Oryctolagus cuniculus: one gene and its partner. The protein of the gene in region 1 purifies or fractionates together with the protein of each later gene. This does not show direct contact. Links are inferred from orthologs where the notes say so. Each region holds a gene or a part of one and is shown on either strand. Other genes may lie near its edges.

Region 1 (4,513 bases):
CTCCCACGTGGGTGGCAGGGACCCGAGTACTTGAGCCAGCATCTGCTACCTCCCAGGGTGTGCATTAGCAGGAAGCTGTATCAGGAAGTACAGTAACAGAGTCTTGAACCAGGCACTCTGATATGGGATGTGGGCAACCCAAGTGATGGCTTAACCCACTGTGCCACAAGGCCTGCCCCTTTTTATACTGGTGGCATCTCACTCTTCTTATCTGTAAAATGGGGACAAACACCTGCCTCACTTACCTTCTAGTTACAAAGGCATTTTCCAAACTATAAAGCACAGCAATAATAAAAGATATAGTCAATGTAACAAAAAAAAAGCGGTAATCTAATTAATTCTGTCTTGGAGAGACTGTCAGAAACTGAAACAAAGGGGTGTGTGTGGTGGTGGCGAGGGTGTGGGAGGGCTTGCAGAGAAGACTGAGAAAGCTTCAGTGGCTGTTCAGGTGAGGAGGTCACAAAGCACCAGGTGAAGGTGTGTGTTGAGGGAAGCAGAGTTGCTTTTCTAGTCCTGAAACAGCCTGGATGAAATATCAAAGAATGGGGCAAGACTTTGGTACGGTGCTTAAGTCGTTGCTTGGGATACTCACATCCCATAGTGGAATCCCTAGGTTTGAGTCCTAGCTCCACTTCTGATCCAGCTCCCTGCTAACCCACACCCTGGGAAGCAGAGGAGATGGTCCATGTACTTCCATTTTTACCACTACGTGGGAAACCCTGATTGAGTTCCAGGCTTCTGACTTCAGTCTGGCCTGGCCCTAGCTGTCACAGGCATTTAGGGAGTGAATCAGAAGATAAAAGTTATCTCCCCACACACACCCTTTAAATAAAGAAAATAAATAATATTCCTAAAAGTTCACGGAAAAATGCATATCTGTTAAAAAAATAAATATCCAAGGCTATCAACCCTGTTTGTTCTGATTTCTACTGCTCAGGAAGCAGCTTCTTTTACTCTTTGGGTTTCCAAGGCACTACAACACCAATAAAAGGAGTTTGCTACACAGCAGACAGGAAAATATTCCAGTCAATAGAAATGATCTATGTGACATTTCGGCTTACTCATAAGTGCCTTTCGTAACCACAATTTGAACAATCCTGGGTAAACTGAGAAGTCCTCAAACCTGCAAAAGCTAAAAATCAAACCAAAAACTAGTCCCTGGCCAATTCCTAACACCACAGGTGGATCCATTCCTTGGAATTCAGCATGTGCACACAGTTGCATAGTTTCTTTGCACATCAACTCATAAATGCAACAGCTGCCTTGATTATGAGTTATTCATGGGAGGGGAGGAAATATTTCTTGAGCATCTATAAGTCTTAACCTCTACAATCAGATTTCTCACATACATTATCTCATTTCATTCTCACAACAATCTTGCAGCACCTAATTATTATTAGCCTCATTTTATAGATGAGGAAATGAAAGTTCAAAGGAATTAAGTAACTTGCCTACGGTCATACAATGATTAAATTACTAGATTTCCGGGGGGGGAAGCCATTGAAATCCATAAGCTGTACTTTGGAAATTTATATTCATTAAATAAAAGTTAAAAAAATTACTAGATTGCATTTGAACAGAAGTCTGTTATATTCCTAAAGTCTAGATCGTGTCTTTAGCGGCAGAACAGATATTAAGTAACCTAGCACATTACAATGAGGTTTATCAAATAATCTTCATGTGACACCAATTTATTTTTCAAAGGCATATAAAATTTGAGGAGGTCCTTTTAAAAACAGCAGAAACAGCAAATCAAGGTGGAGTGTGCTCAGTTATGCAAACAAATCCTAAGTCAACAACTCTGAAAAGTTCCCGAACACAAATGGCAAACTGATTTCTCTAAGCACTAAGAAAAATGAAATCCTCTACAATTAAAGCAAGGCTTGCAAATTAAAGTTAATTCCACCACATCCCCTCAACCCGACTCCACTGAGCCAAGGCATCAGAGACCAGGTGGGAGACCCAGGCCCCCACTAAGAGGGTATCTGTGACCACCTGGAGGGTTCCTTGGGTTTGGGCAGAGTGAGGGAGGCAACAAGAAGCCTGCACAGCCACAGAGAGATCGTTTCCAAAGCACTTTCTCCTTCATTGCATCCTCGCAACCACTCACAGCCCCATTAGAAGAGTCCTCGAGACACATAAGCCTGCTCCGGAGCCAGCTGGCTGGTGGCTGCCCTGCCACTCAAGGGCTAGCCTCGACTACTCTGCGACAGACACACTGGCTGACAGACAGAGGCATGGCAGCAGGTTCCGTGAGACTTCAGCGCCTTCCGGAAAAGCATGTTTGCTCCTGGGCCTTCAGGGGTCAAGAGCGGCGTCTCAGGGAGGTTCTTCCCCCACTGAGGGCTCTGGATCGCAAAGAAAAACAGGGGTGCGGCCCCGAACCCAGAATACCCAAGGGAGCAGGCGGGGGACCTGCCCAGCCAGGACCAGGCCTTCGTGCGCACCGGACATAGATGTCCCCTATGAGGACCAAAGTAGTCTCGCCGCGACCCTGGGGCACAGATTCCCCTGATGGGGTTGTGTCAGGTGGCCCCTGCACCTGGAGACACCTTCCTAGGCCTCCGCACCAGCTCCAGCCTGCGTCTCCCGGCTGGGGCGCGGTCCCCGCCCCCTGCGGCCCGGGTCCGCTCCCTCCGCCGCGCTCCGTGCGTCGCGGGGCACCGATCCCCTTCCCGGAGGCCTGGAGCCTGAGCCCGGGTGTGCCCGCCGGCGGGCGACAGGGCAGCTGCAGACCCGCCCGCCCGCCCCTGGCCCCGGGTCCGGCCCCAACCCGGCCCGAGCGCTCTCCTCACCGGGTCCCAGCGCCTCCATGGCGGCGGAGGGGGCCGCCTCGCCCCGGTCCCCGGCGCCTCCCGCTCCGGGCCCCGCCGCCGCCGCGTAACGCTTGATCTCGGGAATACTGGCGCTGGGGAAGCGCCGCGGAGACGCGGGCGCTGGGCAGGGGGCGGCGGCGGCGCTCGGCCGGGGGACAGAGACCGGGCTCCTGCGGCTCTTCCGGCCTCAGCGACAACAAAAACAATCCCCGCCGCCGCTGCCGCCGCCGCCAGCGGGAGCGGGAGCCTGAGCCCGCGCACGCCGGTCCAGGCGGGGAGGGGACGCGGGGCGCGCGCGACCCGGGGTCCTGGCGGCCGGAGGGGCGTGCGCGGCCCCAGTCGCGGGGTCCACCGAGCCCTGCCGGGGGCAGGGGGTGGAGTACGGCGGGGACGGGAGCGCGCCTGGAGGGGCAGCGCCCGCAGGACGTGCCGGGCACGCGCGCGCCGGCCCGCTCTGCCCTCCCTGGCCAGGGCTACCACCTCCGGGCAGGTGGCTGTGGGAGGGCTACAAGCGCTCCCCTGAGGGCGTCCGGACACGCTGCGACCAGCCCAAGAGCTGAATGCCAGCTCTGTTGTTTCACACGCGCGGGTATCCCTTTCTGTCCGTGGAAAGTGTCTTGAGATTCGCGTAGGCGCCTCTCCTCCCGCGGGTCCCCAGGTGGCTTCTTTCTCCTCTGTCTCTTCCTGGGGCAGAGAACACGAAAGGCACCGCAGCCCTGTTTTCCTTCACCCATCCCTGCACACCCCGTTGCCTTACAAGTTCTTTCCTAGCAGAAAGAGCTTACCTACTGGGATGCCCCTACCTCAGCACCCAAGTGCCAAGGGCCCCAGAGTCAGCCCAGCAGGCCTAGGCGCCTCCAGGTGTCACTGGGGACTCTGAGTCGGAGCACAGGGAGCACAGGGTGGGGAAGCACTTTCCAGGCAACAGAGTGAGGGAGGGCGCTGTCCACCCATGGGCTGCCATAACCAAGTTTCCCATCTGCCTGACTTTAACGACAGCCCTGAAGTATGAGACCGAAGTGTTGGCATGGTTGGTTTCTTTTGGGACTGCTCTCCTTTCACTTGTAGGAGGCTATCTTCTCCCTGTGTCTTCACATGGTCTTCCCTCTGTACTGTCCTGTCCACATTTGGATTAAGGCCTACCCTGATAACTTCATTGTAACAAAGCTACCCCTTCAAGACCCTATTTCTAAATAAAGTCATTATCAAAGATGCATGAGTTTGGGGTCGGCATGTGGCTTAGTAGGTTAATCCTCACCCTGTGGTGGTGGTATCCCTTATGGGCACTGGTTCAAGTCCCAACTGCTCCACTTCCAATCCAGCTCCCTGTTGATGGCCTGGGAAAGCAGTAGAAGATAGCCCAAGTGCTTGGGCCCCTGCACCTGCATGGGAGACTTGGAAGAAGCTCCTGGCTCCTGGCTTCGGATCGGCCCAGCTCCAACCAATGCAGCAATTTGGGGAGTGAACCAGCAGATGAAAGACATCTTCTCTCTCTCTCTGTAACTCTGCCTCTCAAATAAATAAATAAATATTTGGGGGGTGGTGCTGTGGAGTAGCAGGTAAAGCCGTTGGCTGTGATGCCAGCATCCCATATGGGCACTGGTTCAAGTCCCGGCTGCTCCACTTCTGATCCAGCTCTCTGTTATGCCCTGGAAAAGTAGTGGAAGTCCTTGGGTCCCTGTATCCATGTGGGAGAC
Region 2 (3,805 bases), on another chromosome or scaffold:
CTGAAGAAATTTCATAATTCAAACACAACCAAACTGTACATTTTACAATCACATTCTATTTGTAAACAGTTAAAAGCCACTGACTTCTTTTGCATCTTAGGACACAAACAGTTAGAATCAAGGCAATGAAATGATGGCAAATTCTGTACTGTTAAAATTTTTACCCTTGTTTAGTCTCTCTTCTTTGACTAAGCAAGCATTATAATACCATTTGTGGGCAAAAAAAGGGGGGGGGGAGAAATTTAAAAATGGTGTAACTCGTTAGTTTGCAACAACATTTAAAATTTTCTTTATACAACAAACAACTCTGTAAGCCCAATACCTTGGTTACAGTATGCATAGTTACGGATTTCGGCTTTAAGGGACAACAGTTAAACATGAACACAGTCACGAGAGAGCAGAAACAGAGAGCCACTTGATGGGATTACAAAAATGATTACCTACTGATTATTAGCAAACCATCATCACTCACTAATAAAAAGACAGCATCTGAAAGCAGAATGTCAAACTCCAGCTTTAAGCATTTTTTTTTCCTGTTTTTTGTTTTTTTGGCAGAGAAAATTCTTTAACAGAGCAATACGTAGTATCAGTGCTAAAAGTTGGGGTTTTTCTTTTTTTTCCTATAAGAAACTACAAGGATTTTTTTTTTTGTTTTTTGTTTTTTTTAAACTGGGGAACTGGTTTTCCTGAGAACCATGCTCTTTGATTTAGGACAAGAATAGAAAACAAAAGAACATGGCCAAATGCTGCTCCTTTTTCCCAGAGATAGAAAGCATCTTTTAAATCATCCTCCATTTTTTTTTTGTCTTTTAAATTTTTTTTAAATGATGGAGAGTAAACATTTTTCTTCTCAAAAACAAACAAAAAAATCTGTAAACAAGAAGGTTCACCGTGGGAACCTTCAAAACAAAATGGAAAGCCTATTCAAAGTGCAGGGCCCGTCCTGGGTGGCAGGTGGGCTGCAAGTCACAGCTGTGGCCACAGTTTTTCAAACTGCAGAGCGAAATTCTTTAGTTTTACAACATGAAAAAACTGGTGCAACACTTTCATTAATAATCCTAAGTCAGTATCATAACTTGATCTTTTAAACTCCACGATACCACAACAAGGTAGGCAACATCAAGGCATAGTAGAGAGCGCACACCTTGGAAGAGCATCCTTGAGTAAACACTTACACTGGAACAGCTGCCCCCCCACGTTGCCGATTAGACGGAGAGAACATCCTTCAGTGCAAAGGTAAAAGCTCATACATTATCAGCCCAAAAAATGGTTTTGCAAAAGAAAAAAAGAAAACAAAAAAAAAGAGAAAGAAGGGGAGGGGTAGAAAAAAGAAAGACTCCGAAGGCTAAACATGATGAATACACACGAGTGAGCTCGTTCGATACGGCTTAGCATGTATGGCGCTATTTGGGAGTGTAGATAGATAGATACCTTTTCACATTATAATATTGGCCTGCATGATTCAAGTATTCAAACTGATATGTTTTGGGGAAAACAAAGTGGAAAATGTGCAGAGAATAGCTGTTCCCACAGGTGGCCCCTGGCTGCAGGCGGCGAGCCCAACTTAGTGCTCCTTTCTTTCGCGTCTTGAGGTCACAGTTTGTGAGTCTACGTCTACACCGTTACATGGACTCTCCACCCCCACCCAGGTGGTCAACAGAAAGAAAAGCATTAATGGGGGATGGGCTGCTAATTCCCCGGGGGTCGCTGCTGCTGGGAGGACCCCACAGGCTTGTGGAATAATGGGGGGTCCCCCAGAGTGAAGTGCCGTGAAGGTCTCCACAGTTAGTTCCCGACAGCCCAGCACCATTCCAGTGATTGAGATCGGTCCGGCTGGAGAACGAGTGGGAACAGTCGAGGGAGCCCAGCCGGCTCTGGCTGGACCCGAGAGACTGCCAGCCAGGAGAAGGGGTCAGAGACTGACTTTGTGCAAAGAAACGACTGATCTCCTCTTCACTGGCAAACTCAGCAAGAATAGTAGTGTTCCCCAGTACACACCTGCGGAGAGAGCACAGCGGGCACGTGAGGACGCTCCCCAAGGGCTTCCCGATTCCCAAACAAGGGCGCAGCCTGGCCGCGGGACAACAGCTCCGCACCGTGCAGAGGGAGCGCGCGGGTGGCTTGGCCCGGCCGTTCCCAGAGTAACCTCCTCCAGGCCAGCGTGGTGCCGAGAGCCTGCTGCGCTCTCCTGGGAGCGAAGCCACGGCGCCCAGGGCTGACTGGCAGTGTGCTGCAGCGGGGGCACGGGCGCCGGGCCCCCCCCGCCCCCAGCTTCGCCGCCGCAGGGGCACGGCCTACTCACATGTGCAGAGACTTTTGTGCCTTCACTACCTCTTCTTTTGAACTGTAACGGACCAGCGCGTTTCCATGTGGGAGGTTCAGGTGGAATGTGATGAGCGGGCCATGCTGCATGCACAGGGTGCGCAGAGTTGAGCCATCGATCTAGGAGAGAGCGGGACGCCGGGCGGGCGGAGAAGGCGCCGTGAGGGCCAGCAGGAAAGCGGTCCCGGGTTCGGCGCTGCTCCTGGCACTGCGCTTCCGTGGCCCTCGCTGGGCTGGGAGACGGCGCCCCCTCCTCACCTTCCTCCCAGAGCAGCACCTTTGGGGCCTTGAGGCCCCCGGACACCCCCAGGACCCCAGTTCTGTAGCCCCTGCCCCTGCTGCGGCTTCGTATTTTCTCTTCCCTGACGCGAGGACGGGGCCCATCAAGGCACTGCTCCTGGGGTGGGAAGCGAGCTGGGTTCATAATATCCAGCCGCCAGGGGCTAAGAAAATGCTCTAAGCTCAAAGAGCAGACAGGAGGGGAGGGTACTTGGGGCCCTGCCACCCTCACGGGAGACCCAGAGGAGTCCTGAGCGCCTGCCTTGGGCCTGGCTCAGCCCTGGCTGTTGTGGGCATTTGAGGAGCGAACCAGAGGATGGAAGATTCTCATTCTCTCTCTGCCTTTCAAATAAAGAGAATAAAACATCGATAACAATAATTATAATAAAGAGCAGACCAGGCTTTCTTAAGGCGTAGCAGGAGCCACGTGCATCTGTCCATCTAAATGCCCTCATGAAATGCTGGTGCCCAGACCCCAGCCCGCTGGGCGAGACCCAGGAATCCGGGTTTCGGGCTGGCCTCCGTGCCCACTGGCCGTGGCCAGCCCTGACTACCACCCAGGAGCCCTCAGCTCACACAGACCAAGGCCCTGGCGCCCTTACCTGAGGTGTAAGGTTTTTTAGAACAAGCCAATTTGTTATTCTCCCTGAGCTGCTCTCACCCCAGCTGGAACCTGAACAAGGGGAAAGAAAAGAAAAGAAACAAAACCGAGTCGGTTTCCCAAGGCTGTGGGCGGTGGCACGGGCAGAGCACAGCGGCTCTGACGGACACTCGGAGGACCACCCGCTCCCTGGCTTCCTTCCCTACGTCCCCTTGCCTCCAGCTCATCACGGGGGCGGGCAGCAGTGAGCCACACCAGACCAGGGACCTTTGGGCCTTCTCATGTCCAGGTCTCAGGGGACTGTGCATGTCTATCCCTCAGGGTATGGAGCTTGAGGGGACGTGAGAGCACACGGCCACCCAGACAGCCCAGGTCTGGGGTACACATTCCCCACCTGGCTCCGTGCGCCCACTCCGCCCGGCAGCACAGCTCGCTCCTGACCGCCCCCCCTTCAGTGCCTCACGAATACTTCCGGATGGCCTCAGACGCGGCCGCACCCAGCCCCTGCTTGGTCACCACTGAGCCTTGCCCTGCCCCTTCCTTGAACACCTCCCAGGGAACTGGAGCCGTCAGGCCTGAGCTTTGGCACCGGCTGTCCCCTCT

Evidence for each region.
Region 2: the proteins of protein argonaute-4 (region 1) and TNRC6A purify together in Homo sapiens (co-immunoprecipitation; 4 studies listed by BioGRID and IntAct, with this or other methods). This does not show direct contact. The link is inferred for Oryctolagus cuniculus from reciprocal best matches to the Homo sapiens genes AGO4 and TNRC6A.

What each region holds. Positions count from the first base shown.
Region 1 is NC_091438.1:136,830,446-136,834,958, forward strand, and holds the start of protein argonaute-4, read right to left. Parts: upstream 3,050-4,513; 5' UTR 2,815-3,049; coding exon 2,796-2,814; intron 1-2,795.
Region 2 is NC_091450.1:14,640,575-14,644,379, forward strand, and holds part of TNRC6A (trinucleotide repeat-containing gene 6A protein), read right to left. Parts: intron 3,275-3,805; coding exon 3,204-3,274; intron 2,443-3,203; coding exon 2,303-2,442; intron 1,999-2,302; coding exon 1,623-1,998; 3' UTR 1-1,622.